2 linked regions of the Stegostoma tigrinum genome follow. The protein of the gene in region 1 purifies or fractionates together with the protein of each later gene. This does not show direct contact. Links are inferred from orthologs where the notes say so. Each region holds a gene or a part of one and is shown in the gene's direction. Other genes may lie near its edges.

Evidence for each region.
Region 2: the proteins of kdm6a (region 1) and paxip1 purify together in Homo sapiens (affinity purification with mass spectrometry; 6 studies listed by BioGRID and IntAct, with this or other methods). This does not show direct contact. The link is inferred for Stegostoma tigrinum from reciprocal best matches to the Homo sapiens genes KDM6A and PAXIP1.

What each region holds. Positions count from the first base shown.
Region 1 is NC_081365.1:42,761,833-42,769,450, reverse strand, and holds the start of kdm6a (lysine-specific demethylase 6A), read left to right. Parts: upstream 1-4,509; 5' UTR 4,510-4,787; coding exon 4,788-4,915; intron 4,916-5,024; coding exon 5,025-5,088; intron 5,089-7,618. UniProt on the Homo sapiens protein: Histone demethylase that specifically demethylates 'Lys-27' of histone H3, thereby playing a central role in histone code. Demethylates trimethylated and dimethylated but not monomethylated H3 'Lys-27'.
Region 2 is NC_081355.1:142,821,309-142,829,497, forward strand, and holds the start of paxip1 (PAX-interacting protein 1), read left to right. Parts: upstream 1-5,099; 5' UTR 5,100-5,212; coding exon 5,213-5,305; intron 5,306-8,189.

The sequences.
Region 1 (7,618 bases):
ACAAATAGTCATTATGTAATATTGTCAGGACTTCAACTAAAATATTTGATTTACTTACTACAGCAGTGATTGTACTATTAGTTTTTGCTTCTAATTGGGAAAGACACTGAAATAACATACAGTATTAAACTTCAGGAAAGAAGCCTGATGATATTTTTAAAAATTCATTCATGGGATGTGGACATCACTGGCTGGACCAACATTTATTACCCATTCCTAATTGCCCAGAAGGCAGTTAAGAGTCTAAGTTGTTGCTGAGTTTGGATTCACGTGGAGGCCAGAAAAGGTTAAGGACTGCAGTCTCCATCTCTTCAACATTAGTGAACCAGATGGTTTTTCCAACAATCAGCAATGGTTTCATGATCATCATTAGATTATTTACTCCAGATTATTAATGAATTTAAATTCCACAATCTGCCATGGCTGGATTTGAACATAGGTCCTCAGAACAATGGCTGGGTCTCTGCATTGATTGTCTGGTGATAATACCAACAGATCATTGCTTCCCTGTCATACTACTAGTGAGATGGATTAAGATTGATGGGAGCAAAAAACAGCGCAAACTAAAAACAATCTGCTAATTATGGGCCAACATTACTCAAGTTGAAGTAAAACTGGGCTTTGACACAGACTATGATAGAAAAGTGGTAAAGGGTTGAGGTCAGTGAAGCAAACGACAACATTGGCCTAGAATAATTACAAGGCATGCAAGGGAACATGTATCAAATTGTATCTGACAGTGCTCCTATTCGTTCCTTGGGGTGGTTACCCTATCAGCAGCTCTATGTACGCAGAAGTTAAAGTTAATCAGCAGGACAGGGTTAAACAATACTAATGGGGAAAAGATTAAAAAGAGGCAAATATGGACTGTTTCCAGTGTGGAATAGCTAACGTACACCTGCACTATTAAATGTATGACAAATTTAAAACTTATAACATTTATATGAAGAGTCATATCTGGCACTTGGTTATTTTGGTCATGTTTCTTGAATTCAGTTACCTCAGCTTTAGGATTTCTCTGCAAGAAGTCCTCAAGGTTGTGTCCTAGGCCTAACTATCTTCAACGCCTTCATCAATGACCCTTACTCCAATGAAAGGTCAGAAGTGGGGATGTTTGCCAATGACTGCACAACGTTCAGTACATTTGCAACTCCTTAGATACTGAAGCAGTCACTATTCAAATGCCACCAGATCTGGCCTTCATCTGGCAAGTAACATTCAGGCCACACTAATGTCAAGACATCTCCAATAATGCACAATCTAACCACCATCATTGATCCTGGGGTCAGCACTGACCAGAAACTGGATTTGCCAGTATAAATACAACAGCTAGACGAGCAGGTCAGAGGCTAAGAATACTGCAGCAGTAACTTACCTTTTGGTTCCCCACTGCCTGTCCCCCAATCTATAGGACACAAGGAAGGAATGTTGTCGGATACTCCCCACTTAACTGGATGGGTGCAGCTCCAACACCACGAACTTGACGTAATCCAGGACAAAACAACCTGCTTGATTGACACCACATTCACAAGCATCTGCTCCTCCATCACCAATGCTCAGTAGCAGCAGTGTGTACTGTCTACAAGATGCACTGCAGAATTCCACAAAAGATCCTTCGACAGTCCCTTCTTAACTTATGACCTCTTCCATCTCAAAGGAAGATGCCATCCAAGCCACTCACCATCCTGACTTATTGCTGTTCCTTCCTTGCTGGGTCAGAATCCTGGAATTACCTTCCTAAGGGAATTATGGATCTACCTGCAACACAACGACTGCAATGGTTAGAGAAGGCAGACCACCCTCTCAAGGGCAACTAGGGATAGGCAATAAATGCTGGCCAGCAAGTGTTATCCATATCCCACAAATAAAATACTTCCCTGCATTAAAACGTCCCTGTTCAAAGATTTAAGTTCCAAAGTCCTGCCCCATTTTTAGCTCCAAACATGTTCCAATTAAGTAAAACATTGTTCCCTTTCTGAGATACACCAGCAAAAACTTCAAAGAAAACAGCTAATCAAATTAAGTCTTTGTTTTATTCTTTTAGATTCCCTACAATGTGGAAACAGGCCCTTTGGCCCAACAAGTCCACACTGCTCCATGCAGCAGCCCACCAAGACCCATCCCCCTATAACCCACACACCCTGGAACACTATGGGCAATTTAGCATGGTCACCCACCTAGCCTGCACATCTTTTGACTTTTGCAGGATTGACTAGCGTTTATTGCCCAATCCCTAATCGCCCTCAATAGGGTGGTCCTGAGCAGTTTTCAGTCAGTGGTGCAGGTACACTTACTCAGCTAGTAGCAAGGGTAACCCTGAATTTTGTCTCAGTGATTGTAAAACTACTGCCCTTGTCCATCTAGGCAATTGAACTTTTAGGTCTGGAACATGCTATTGAAGGGTGATAATGATGACAGCTCCCCATTCCCACAGCAGGCAGAAGATCAAGTCTACTGGCGAAATATCTCTCACTAAGAACACCCCAGCAAGATACAACCATACAGACGGCAAAGTTAAATCACTGCCCACTGCCTGAACCTGATGTTTTAGTGTCAGAGATAATGGGAACTGCAGATGCTGGAGAATTCCAAGATAATAAAATGTGAGGCTGGATGAACACAGCAGGCCAAGCAGCATCTCAGGAGCACAAAAGCTGACGTTTCGGGCCTAGACCCTTCATCAGAGAGCGGGTCTAGGCCCGAAACGTCAGCTTTTGTGCTCCTGAGATGCTGCTTGGCCTGCTGTGTTCATCCAGCCTCACATTTTATTATCCTGATGTTTTAGTGGATGGCTACTGAGGCATTTCTAGCTACCTGTTCCCATTGTATTTTATACTGCTTTTGACATTCCTAGGTAATTTTGAAGAACAGTCAGCTAACCAAAATGTTAAATCTGCTTTCTCTCCAGATGCTGCCAGCCCTGCTGGGTTTCTCCATTTTATTTTGGATTTCCAACATCTGCAGTTCTTTGGATTATTGAAGTAATTTTGAAGTACTGTTTCTTTCCATCATTGGGAGCCACTGATCTGATGAATATTTCTGGTCTTTAATTTTATAAGTGTAGAAAAATACAACTGCCAATACACATACAGCAAGGTCCTAAAAAACTGGAGATAAATGCTTGACTGTCTGAAGTTTGCTGATACTGCCTACAGAATATTGCCAATTTCCATATGCTATTTCAAGGGCAAATAAAATAGGAGCATTCGCACAATTTATCTACGAAGTGCCAGCTAGTGTGGTGAAACCTTTGGAAGAGATTTGTTTTGAGCTGTGCCAACTGCCTCAAAATTACAACACAAATGCACTTTGCAAAAACTAAACCCATAAATACAGAATATTTAAAATCTAGATGCACTTTATGGAGATAGAGTATCCCAAGCCAGAAGTACAAGCTTCGCATGATAAAAAGTGGTACATATACCAAAATGAAAGCAAGAAAACAGTAAAAACACACTACTTCATAACACTTATCAAAAGAAAGACATGGTAAAATATGTTTAATATCTTAAAGAATATGCTTTTATACTGATTTGCACATGAATGAATAGATGGAGCATATCAAGGACGAGTTAAGGCTGAGGCCCACGAAATTACTAGAACAAGTCCATCTCTATCCTGCCACCCTAGGGAGGAAAGAGGAAGACAAAACGGCATAAAACTACAGTCTTGAAATATACATTTGGTCGTTTCACTTTGGCTGAATCGGAGTCTTCTGGGTTTACGTATATCTGACTGTCAAGCCACAGGGTAGCTTTTGCTAGGAATTAAAGACATGAAATTTTAGGGGAACATTGCCGATCGCCAGGCGCTACACAGGCTGGGAGCGACAGGAAGGCGCGGGGAAGGTGGTGGTGGTGGTGAGGAGAAACATCAAAAATTCTCCAGTTCTACAAGGCGACTCCCTTTGTAGCGGTCCCATTTTGTACAGCGCCATCTCTCGTGGTTGTTTAACGTAAACAGTTGGAAGTATGAATAGTAGAAATCTTTAGAAGTCACCAAACTGCAACCAACATCGATTTACTTTCAAGGACTGGGCAGGCGGGGTAGGAAACGGGAGACGGAATGCTTTTGTCACCAACAATTGCTTTGGTACCAGGGCCTTCAAAAGTTACTAAAAGAAAAAATCGGGTATAGCTGCCATCACGGGCATAATCAAAATAAAACCTGGCTAACACACCCAAACTACCCAGACACCATACATCTAAAGTTACACTACCCACCTAAAATGGAGCAAAAATAAAGTTATGCGCAGCGACCATTGATTTTATACTGCGACGAGCCCGAGCCTTGCTGACGTGTTTGAGAATTTGGACGATTGACAGTCACCACCGTCCAGTGGGAAGGCGCAGAATGCGGCCGCCCGCTGAAAGGGCGGCGAAGCGTTTGAGTTTGACAGCCAATTGGGGCCCGCAGCAGCCGGAAGGGGTGGGTCCACGCTGCTGTCGATCCCGCAGCACGGACTGACGTAAATCAACACAAAGGCACGTGGGTCGCGCTACCGCTGTCCATTGGCCGGGAGTGGGTTTGCTGTTTGTGCGCTTACGGCGTGGATTCGGTGTGACACAATTACAACTTTCTGCTTTGAAGTTTTTCTTTTTTTTTGCTAATATTATTTCAATGCTGTTTTAATTTTATCTCCCCCAAAACAAGGACTGCAGCACGTGCATGTTAGAAAAGAAGCAAGATCTTGAAGGATGTGAAAAAATAAAAACAACTCCACGGCAATAATAAAGAATAGCAAAAATAAATTGCAAACATTTTTTTTCATCTCTGTCTGTAAGCCCATGAAATCCTGTGGAGTATCATTCGGTGATGAGGAAAAGAAAATGGCGGCGGGAAAACCGAGTGAAATTGAGGATGACTTTCCAACTCTGACGCCCCAGGAGAAAGACTCAATTGCAACTCTCGATAGGTTAGAAAATTGTGCAAGTTTTGTGTTGTGTTTTTGATTAAGTTTTAGTGTTTATGCATAAATTAAAACATATTTTAACGTATGTCATCTGTCTGTCGCTATCGCACAGCCGAGTGTTTGGATTTCTGAAGGTTCATGAAGATGGCGCCAGAACGAAGGCCTTGTTAGTAAAGGTAAGAACTGAAAAAAAATCAGGCTATTTGTTTTGTCCTTATGCATTTTGGTACTTTTATAGTAAAGAAGGAGACATACGTTATCTGACCTCTATCAATAAAGCAAGATTTGTGGAAGCGTTCCCATTTCACGGAGAGTAGGCTTGTCTTAATGAGGGATTTTCCTCTATAATATGTATACTAACTTGAAAAGCAACGGTGCAGACAAGTAGAGACGTTTGCAAATCATTGATCGTCAAATGTGTAGGACATGTCTTTTCGTTTTTGTATGTGGTACATTTTTCGCTTGCCCCTCTGTGCGCCCAGCCTCTCTAGCCTCCAGGCTCTCTACTATGGGTTTTGTGTTGTGTATGGGTTGAAGTTTCGCTCCGCGTTAAAAATGGCTGCTTCTCTCCAAGATGGCGGGATAGGGAGGATAGAGGAAAAAATAGTGAGTGATTGGTAGGGGAGGGCAACAACAAAAAAAAATTCGGGCCAATTTAGTCAGTAACAGATCTGTAATCGGCATTGTGCAATGTGAAGAAAATTAAGTCCAGAAAAAAACGCTTACTGACAGGATTGTTTTTCCTTTTTATAAGAAAAATACAAAAGTGATTCACTCAACCTGTAGCACCAAGCTGTTAAATGTGAAACATTTGTGGCTCGTACATCCAGAATTTGTGACATTTCATTAAACGTACATCTTTTAAGTCACATACATGTTTATCGGTTGCAGTTGCTCAGATGACGGGGCCATACTTTTTTCGGATAAACTTTGTGTATATATAAATGGGTATTTGCTGGATTCTAATTATTTATACTGCAGAATACACGTTTTCAGAATTAACTTATCGTTTCCTCTTATGTACGTTGTGAAGTCTGTTAATGTTGAAAATTTTTGGCATGTCCAGTCTCTCCAGTTTTTAATTACACACTTGAAATGCTTCATCGTGTTTGGAATTCAATGTTCATGTTTTTAATCGGGTGGTGGGGGTAAAACCCGAGTTTACGTAAGAGTTGTAATGCTGTCTGATATGCTCCTATCGAGTTGTAATGGCTTCCATTAGATTTTACATAAACTGTTTTTGTTTCAGTGTATATTTGTAGCATGTTGATTTTACTCAGACGTTACTCGTGTATCATTATATGCTTATTGTTTGGGAAGTATCACCAGTTTTTCACGCACTAGATTGAGGTTTTGAGTGCCATCTTTCAACTGCAACATGGTACAATGATATAGCTCATTAGTTTTAAATAATTTTAATTGTCAACACAATTGCTGTTGTGAATCTAAGCACGAAACAGTTACCTGCCTATGATAGCGGTGAGTCAAAATTTGGCAGGTTTGTAGGTTGGACAGCATTAAAGTCTAGTAGAAAGCATTTGACTTTGAAAGCAAATTCTGTTTGGCAGTTTATTTTGAGACTCCTTAGATATGATTCATTATATTGAGACATAAGCCAGTCAGTAGTGGATGCAAAGTTAAATGTCTTGTGTGTTGACAAACAAAACTCCCCCAATATTGATGTTCTGGATTAGGAAACAGTAATGAAGTTTCTTAGACTGCCTTGTCAGTCACAAATCAGGTTCTGAGTTTGATCTTTGAATTCGTACCAAACATACTGACAATCAGAGTTGAGATGGTGATGGGGCGTTGTGTATATATTTGAAAATTGTCCTAAATCCAAACCTTCCAGTGAGTCTACATGAAAGTGTGTTCTTTGGATGTCTGATGAGGAATGGATAGAAGCTGTATTGTGATTTTGTTAGTCATACGTTTTGGCAAAGATATTCCCTTCCAAATCATGTGCCGTCCTGACTCGGAAATACTCTGCAGTTCCTTCTTTATCACTGAGTTAACATCCTGAAAGCCTAACAGCATTGTTATCTACCTTTACATTGATTAATTGCAGTAATTCAAAATGACTTACCATTACTTGAGAATAATTTAGGAAAAAGCAGTAAACACTGGCTTTGTTAGTTACACCTACGTCTCATTGAACCAAAAGAAAATAATTGCTCAGACTTGCACGTGAGGAATGGTGTCAAAATGCTCCCTTGGAATCTGTCTCCCCGAATGGAGTACTTGTCTTAACAGTAACTGAGAGAAATAATTATTTTAATAAAACCAGTTAGAATTTTACGTAATTGACTAGCTGCATGTTCAATACAAATTTATCATAGTTAATAAATTGTTGTTTAGTGAATTCCAAAATAAGCTTCTCCTGGTAGACTAGTCATCCATCATTTAATTAGTTGACCAATATTTGGAACTTAATGGTCAATGTGTAATCCTAATCTTCATAAGTAACCTGTTGTAAGTAGCTGTGGCTAAGCTTGATTCAGATGATATGAGTTTACTCATAGATCTTAAAGTTGTCATTTTCAATTTTGCAGAGTTTAGATGGATCTTTGAAAAATAGCTGGCATTTCCATGCATACTTCATTTTTTTTAAAAGTTTGTTAATATTTCCAAAGACTTGTAATAGCTCCTCAATGCACAATATCATACTGATAGCTTTAACAATATTCAATGTTTATTCCAAACAAT
Region 2 (8,189 bases), on another chromosome or scaffold:
GAGCTGTAGTCGATGAGCAAGAGTTTGATGTAGGTGTCCTTGTTGTCCACATATTCCAGGGATGAGTGTGGGGATACAGAAATGGCATCTGCAGTGGACCTGCTTTGATGGTAGGCAAACTGCAAGGGATCTAGACAGGTTGGGAGACTGGTGTTGATGTGGGCCATGACCAGCCTCTCAAAGCACTTTGTGATTATTGAGGTCAGAGCCACTGGGCAGTAGTCATTAAGGCACCTTACTTGTGTTTTCTTAGGTAAGGGGATGATAGTGGTCTTCTTGAAGCAGGTGAGGACTGTGGCTTGTAGGAGGGAGAGGTTGAAGATGTCAGTAAATACCTCTGTCAGTTGGTCCGCACAGGATCTGACTGCACGGCCAGGGACTGACCATAATACCACTACCTCCCCATTGATGGCATTTATGTGGAAGCCGGGTGAAGAAACAAGTTTTTACTTATGCATTGATGTGTATTTGGACTTGGGTGGCAGATGTTACTGGCAGGACTGAGCACAATCTGTTCTCCCCCTCTGCCTCTATCACACAGCTAAGCTTCTGTTGAGTTGTAAACTGGGTCAACCTCCCTGCAAGTGGGCAGAAAATTCTACACTGAATTTTGACAGCGATGTTCCCAGAAGGGAAAGGAATATTCTATCTACATCTTAAAACATTGAATGGCTCAGGAACCAAAAGCATTTAAAATACTACAGCTGATCAAACTATTAGCCATACGCGGGAATGTTTCTTATTTCTCTGATTGGGTCAGATTTACCAAGAACTACTTTTGATCTGCCATTATGTGTTTACAATTTGAGTGCACTTGTTGGATCAACTGGTCAAGTTACTTTGCAGGCTAAACCTTGAATCCACTAGGTGTTTTGAAGAAAGAGTCACTGGACACAAAATGCTAACTTCGCTTTCTCGCCACAGATGATGCCAGACCTACTGAGTTTTTCCAACAATTTCTGTTTTGGATCCTGATTTTCAGCATCTACAGTTCTTTGGGTTTCTTGTATACTGTAGTGATTGGGACCAGTTGGATCTTGTTGACTTCGAGATCCTTGATTGGGCTAATCAGGAAGCCCTGGCTGACTAATATAACCAGGGGATTTAGAATCTCTTCAGTTCGGGGGATTGACTCCAAGTTGGCTGGCCACAGCCAGTGTAGTGCGCACAAGTAAAGAAAGGGTGGCTTGGTGATGGGATACTGGCATCTGTGCTGCTGTTTCATAGACAGTGGAGTTTCGTCAATAAATGACACTTTGATTAAAAAGTATAAGATCCTAAGGGATCTTGGTTGCAAAACAAAGGGGCTTGCGGGAGGACTTGTGCACAACACACAGAAAGCCAGCACACAGGGTGCAGCAGGTATCAGGAAGGCCAATGGAATGTTGGCCCTTACTTCAAGGATATTGGAATATAAAAGTGGGGAAGTCTTACTGCAACCATACAGGGTGCTGGTGAGACCATATTTGGGAAAATGTGAGCAGAGTTCATCCCCTTATTTAAGGAAGGATATCATTGGAAGCAGCTCAGAGAAGGTTCACTAGGATGATGACATAATGGGAACTGCAGATGCTGGAGAATTCCAAGATAATAAAATGTGAGGCTGGATGAACACAGCAGGCCAAGCAGCATCTCAGGAGGACTCTGATGAAGGGTCTAGGCCCGAAACGTCAGCTTTTGTGCTCCTGAGATGCTGCTTGGCCTGCTGTGTTCATCCAGCCTCACATTTTATTATCTATTCACTAGGATGATCCCTGGAATGGAGGGATTGTATGATGAGCAAAGGTGAAAGAGGTTGGGGCTCTTCCCCATGCAGATTAGAAGACTGACAGGTGATCTCATTGAAACATATTGGATTCCTAAGGGACTTGACAATATAAATGCTGAGAGGATGTTTCCCTCATAGGGGAGTCTAGAACCAGACGGCATTGTCTCAGAATGAAGGGGTGCAAGATTAGGACTGAGAAGAGGAGGACATTCCTTTCTCAGAGGGTTGTGAGAGTCTTTGGAACTCCTTACTGCAGAGAACTGTGGGGGCAGTCTTTGTGTATATTTAAAGCTTAGATAGATAGATTCTTAACTAAATAGGGATATCAAGGCGTATAGGGAAGAGGCAGGAAAGTGGATGTGAGGATTTTTTTGATCAGCCTTAATTCTATTGATTGGTGGATCAGGATTGAAGGACTGAATGACCGAATGTTCCTATTTCTTATGGTAATGTTGTTGTAGAAAAGGTGTATCCTCTTGTGGAAGAATCAAGAAATATTCATCACTGAAAAATGAGGAGTTACCCATTTTAAGCAAAGATGATAATTTTCTTCCTAACAGGAGTGAGAGTCACAGAATCTCTACAGTGTGGAACCAGGCCATTCAGCCCATTGGTCCACACCAACGCTCCAAAGGTTATCCCAACCAGACCCTGCATTTGCCACAGCCAATCTGTACAACCTTTTTTTTTAATTAACAGGAGGAGGGTATCACTGACCTGGCAGCATTTATTGCCCATTCCTGATTGCCCACAGGTAAGTTATGAGTCAACCACATTGCTGTGGGTCTGGAGTCACGAGCAGTCCAGACCAAGTAAGGATGGCAGCTTCCTTCCCTCAAGGGCATTAGTGAACCAGATGGGTTTTGCCGACAATTGACAATGGATTCATCATTAGATTCTTAATTCCAGGTATTTCATTGAATTCAAAATCCACCATCTGCCATGGCGGGATTCGAACCTGGGTCCCCAGAATGTTACCTGGGTCTCTGGATTAACAGTCTAGCCATAATGCCACTTGGCCATCACCTCCCCCTGCATATCTTTGGACTGTGGAAGGAAACCAAAGCACTCGCAGGAAACCCATCTGAAAACTCCACACAGACAATCGCCCAAGGTAGGTATCGAATCCAGATCCCTGGTGCTGTGAGGCAGGAATGGTAACCACTGAGCCACCATGCCACCAGTGATGAGTCATGGATGTATGTTCCACAAAAGGCATTGCTTACAAAGTCCTTGAATATTTTTTAATGTTGAGGCAGACAGATTCTTGATGAGACAGTGGCTGGAAGGGATTGTGCAGCTATGAGTTCAGCTGTAATCTTATTGGATGGTGGAGGAGGTTCAAGAAGCCAAGTGGCCTATCCTAGTTAGAGATAGTAGGAACTGTGGATGCTGGAGAATCTGAGATAACAAGGTGTGAAGCTGAATGAACACAGCAGGCCAAGCAGCATCAGAGGAGCTGGAAAGCTTGACGTTTCAGGCCTGAACCCTTCTTCAGAAATGGGGGAGGGGAAGGGGATTCTGAAGTAAATAGGGAGATGGGGGAGGTGGGTAGAAGATGGATAGAGGAGAAGATAGGGTGAGAGGAGACAGACAGGACAAAGAGGAGGGGTTAGATCCAGTGAAGGTGAATGTAGGTGGGGAGTTGGGGGGATAGGTCAGTCCAGGGACAGGTCAGGGTGGCGGGATGTGGTTAGCGAGTAGGGGATGGGGGTGGGGCTTGAGGTGGGAGGAATCGTTAGAGAGTTGGGGACTAGCTGGGCTGGTTTTGGCATGTGGGCGGGGGAGGGGAGATTTTGAAGCTTGCAAAATCCACATTGATACCCTTGGGCTGAGGAGTTCCCAAGCGAAATATGAGATGCTGTTCCTGCATCTTTCAGGTGGCATCATCGTGGCAATGCAGGAGGCCCAGGATGGACATGTCGTCCGAGGAGTTGGTGGGGGGGGGGGGGAATTGAAATGGTTCATGACTGGGAGGTGTAGTTGTTTGTTGCGAACAAAGCACAGGTGTTCCGCAAAGCGGTCCCCAAGTTTCCGTCTGGTTTCCCCGATGTAGAGGAGGCCACAACGGGAACAGTGGACGCAGTATATCACATTGACAGATGTGCAGGTGGCCTATTCTAGTGTTTACTTAGGTTGGTTTCAGGATAAACTTTACCTTGTTAAAACCTCAAAGAAAAATTACCTGGCTAATTCCCTAAACAGGCAAGCAAATTTTCCAGAGGGTTGTTAATCTATGGAGTTCCTTGCCCAATGAAGTAGTTGACGTTACTTCAGTAAACATTTTTAAAGCTACGGTAGATTTTTTTTGAACAATAGAGGAATTAAGGGATACGGTGAGAGTGCGGGTAAGTAGATCTGAGTCCATGAAAAGATCGCTGATGAATGGTCTAGGACCGAAAAGTCAGCTTCTGTGCTCCTGAGATGCTGCTTGGCCTGCTGTGTTCATCCAGCTCCACACTTTGTTATCTTACAAGAGTTCAGCCATGATCTTATTGAATGGCGGAGCAGACTCAAAGGGCCGGACAGCCTACTCCTATATTGTAAACAATAACGTCAACTAATTAAACCGCGCATGAATGAAAATACTTTAAGAAAAATGAAATGAATATTTTGAAGTCAACTGCAGGAAGCATATACCATAACTTTAAAAAAAACTTGCCTTGTCAAAGAACATGAAAACCCTTTAAGGATTGGGAAAAAGAATTACTCTGGAGAAATATTTCCCTCTCCCTGTCTGTTTGAAACTGCCAGACCAAGGAAGCAGTCAAACTCTTTGCTTGGGATTCCAGAGGCCAGATAACGTTACGCTCATCTTATTTTGAGTAGGGGTAAGTATCATCACAAGCAGTTTCGTTTTATTTTGGTAAGCCTGATCCTCGTGTTGGTAACTGGGTGTCGGCATATTTACAGGTAATGAACAAACCCTGCCCCAAATGCCTCATGCCTCAGCCTTCAGTTTGTCAGAAACCAGAGAGCTCAATGTTTGCAAAGTGGCAACATTTCCCGCGTTATTTGTAACAATCGCCGCCTGGAAATCGCGCGCGCTCCCCTGTTCCACCCAGGCCCCGCCCATTGCAACGCGGACCCGACCATCGCTTCAGACAGGGGTCCGTGGAATGGAGATGCCCAAGTTATCAGAAAAATAAAGACAAATAAAGAACAAAAAAGCACCTGTAGATGATTAATTTAAATATATATTCTACCAAATTGTGCTTAATGATGGATATCGGGTTTGAGTGCAGGGTGATTTCAAATAGATTAGGGAATCCCCCTTGCTGTTTTAGGATTGTTCTGGTGGGGTTCCCCGTCCGGCAGGGGAGGAGAGGTGCGCAGGCGCGGGCTGCTGAATGTATCGAGTGGGATCTCCGGGGATAGAGGTAGGGAAAGGGGTTGGGGAATAACCCGTACCCAAGCATCAGCAGCCCCGGCTCACTCACCGACATGTCGGAGACACCGCGCAGTGAGGAGCCGGCGGTCACCCCGGATCTGTTTAAGGAGGTGAAGTTCTTCGCAGTGGGAGACATCGATCAGCAGGTGAGGAAGGGGAGGAAAGGCCTGGAGTGAGGCAGGTGTGAGGGTTGGAGGGAGAGGGGATTGAAGGAGTGGAGAGAGAGGGATTGAAGGACGGGAGAGAAAGGGTTGAAGGTTGGAGGTGAAGGGTTGGAGAGGTTTGAGAGTGGAAGGACTTGAGAATTGGAAGGAGGGAGTGAGGGAGCTGAGCTGAGGGGAGGAGGAGGAGTGAGGATTGGAAACAGGCAGAGGGGTTGAAGGTTAGAGAGTTGGGGTGACGGGTTGAAAGTACAAGGTGAGGAGCTGGTGGGAGCAGGGAAGTGAGGTTTGGGATGAGGTGTTGAGGAAAAGGGAGGCCCTGGCTTTGGAGTGTGTCTGTTCCATCTTCTTGTCCCTCTCCAGAAGGTGACTGACATCCATGGTGCCAGCAGCCTCGGCCTGCAAGCTGCTGCAGCTTCTCGTGGCCTTCTGCAACTTTTCAGCATTTGACCTGGAAGTAGATCATTCTTGATGTCTTTTTACTAGCCAGTTTATTTTAAATGTTGTTTGTGAACCTGTGTGTTTTGTGTAATTGTTTTTATTTTCTCCCTTGTGCTCTGGGTGACATGCCTTTTGTGTGTGTGTGTGTGTGTGTATGTGGTTGTGTGGACGACCGCCTGGCTTTGCACTTCCTGCCGTACAGTAGGCCCTTCCTTGTAATCTCTGCCTGAGGAATTAGTTCCCTGTTGTTGCTGTAAGGGCTGGCCTGATAACAGCTCAGTCTGGAGAGCTGGGGTACCTCAAATCAATACTGTTAAGTGTGAAAGACTGATTTGGTTTATATCTCTAGCACTGTAGAATTATTCTATTCAAGTGAACTCTCCTTCCTTTATGCCTCAAATTGATGGGAAAAGTATTTGGAATGAAGTTTTTGAACATCAGTGTTTGTGTTTTGATTCTTTTGATTAGTTGTGAAATAAAAACTGTTTAAAGTTATTGTTATGCTGTGATTTGACAGCTGTTGATGAGTTTATTCCCAAAATATATGAAAAGATAGAAGTATTAAGCAGAGGCTTTGAGGGACTGAGAAATAGTCTTATCAGGGTGATTAGGTGTCGAGCCAGTGATGAACCTGTGTGAACATTAAATGATGAGATTGTTTCGTAATTTGCAAAAATCTGTTTTGCTAGCACTGAGTTGTATCCATCTTACATATTAGATGTTTGTGAAGGCTTTGTTTATTTCTATCATGTGTTTGGTATTGCCATTCAGCATTTGTATTCATCATGATGATCCTGTCTGTGGTTTAAACTCTATAACCCTGTCCCCCTTGTTGATCAAAAATCAGTGTAACTCTGCATTTGTCTTTGTTATGGCCTCCACTGTGCTCTGTGGGAGATAATTTTAAAAGCTGCTTCTGGGGTAACAGCGATGTAGGACCTGAGTTTCTCTGATCAACTTGCTGTGTGTTTGACCACAAGAATTGCTTTTAGCAAAACGAGTTCGCTTGCCGAGTGATCAGCCAAATAATCATGGATCCTCAGTAATACAGCATGGAAATAGACCATTCAGTCCAACCAGTTCATGCCAGCCATGTTCCCAAACCAAACTAATCCCACTTTCCTGCATTTGGCCCATAACATGCCAGACCATTCCTATTCATGTTTTTGTCCAAATTAATTTTAAATGTTGCGCCCGTCACTTCCTCTGGCAGTTCATTCCACAAAGAACTACTCTGTGTAAATAAAAAAAGTTCCCCCTCACGTTCTTTTTAAATCTTTGTCCTCTCTCCTTAAAAATATGCCACCTAGTTTTGAATTCCCCCACCCTAGCAAAAGTCTAAAGGCCTTTTGCTATTCACCTTATCTATGCCTCTCATAATTTTATAAATCTCTATAAGGTTACCCCCGAACCTCCTATGCTCCATTGAAAGAAGTCGCAGTCTATTTTTATAACTCAAACCCTCCATTCTCAGCAACAATCCTGGTAAATCGTTTCTGAATGCTCTGTAATTTAATAATATCCTTCCTATAGCAGGGCGAACACAACTATCCACAGTATTGCAGAAGAGGCCTCAATTGTCACCAATGACCTTGCTTCCATAGCCTTGCCCTTCCCTGTCTTTGTCAACTCGGAGTCCTTTGTTTTAATGTTGTCAGAGACTGTCCAGGTCCTACGAAGCTTCTGCCATTCCAAACTGCCATCAACATGCATAATAAATTGCGGCAATTCCTGGGGCAATTTATGTGAAGGCATGACACTGAAAACATTCTTTGTGAAAGTTGACATTGCTCCTGATGGTGATGTGCTTCACTGCTAATTACATTCTGAATAAGATCAGAAGAAACAGGAATAGGCCATTCAGCTTTTGTATTCATCATGACGATCCTGTCTGTGGCTTAAACTCCACTTTCTGCCTTTATAACCCTAGTCCTCGTTGTTGATCAAAAATGTAACTCTGTCTTTGTTATAGCCTCCACTGTGCTCCATGGGAGATAATTTTAAAAGCTGCCTCTGGGGTAACTTTATTGATCTCATCTTAAATGAGAGACGCCTTATCTTGAAACAGTGCTCACTCCCCAACAATTCTAGCCTCCTTTCAACGGGATGCTGTCAAAAATCAGTTACCTAGCCAAGCCCATTCAGCATCTAATGTTTCATAAGATCACCCCTCTGAGGCACCAAGCTGTAAGCATCCAGCCTGCTCAGCCTTTCCTCATAAGACACTCTCCTTGTCAACAAATTATCCAATTAAATCTTTTCTGAGCTGTTTCCCATCCTAGAATATCCCTCCTGAAGTAAGGCCACAATTGTATCCGGTACTCCAGGTGCAATCTCACCAGTGTCCTGAGAGCAGAGGCAAAACTTTCCTACTTTTACGTTCCATCTCCCCTGCAGTAGGAAGTTGCTTTGTCGCAGTGCAGTAATG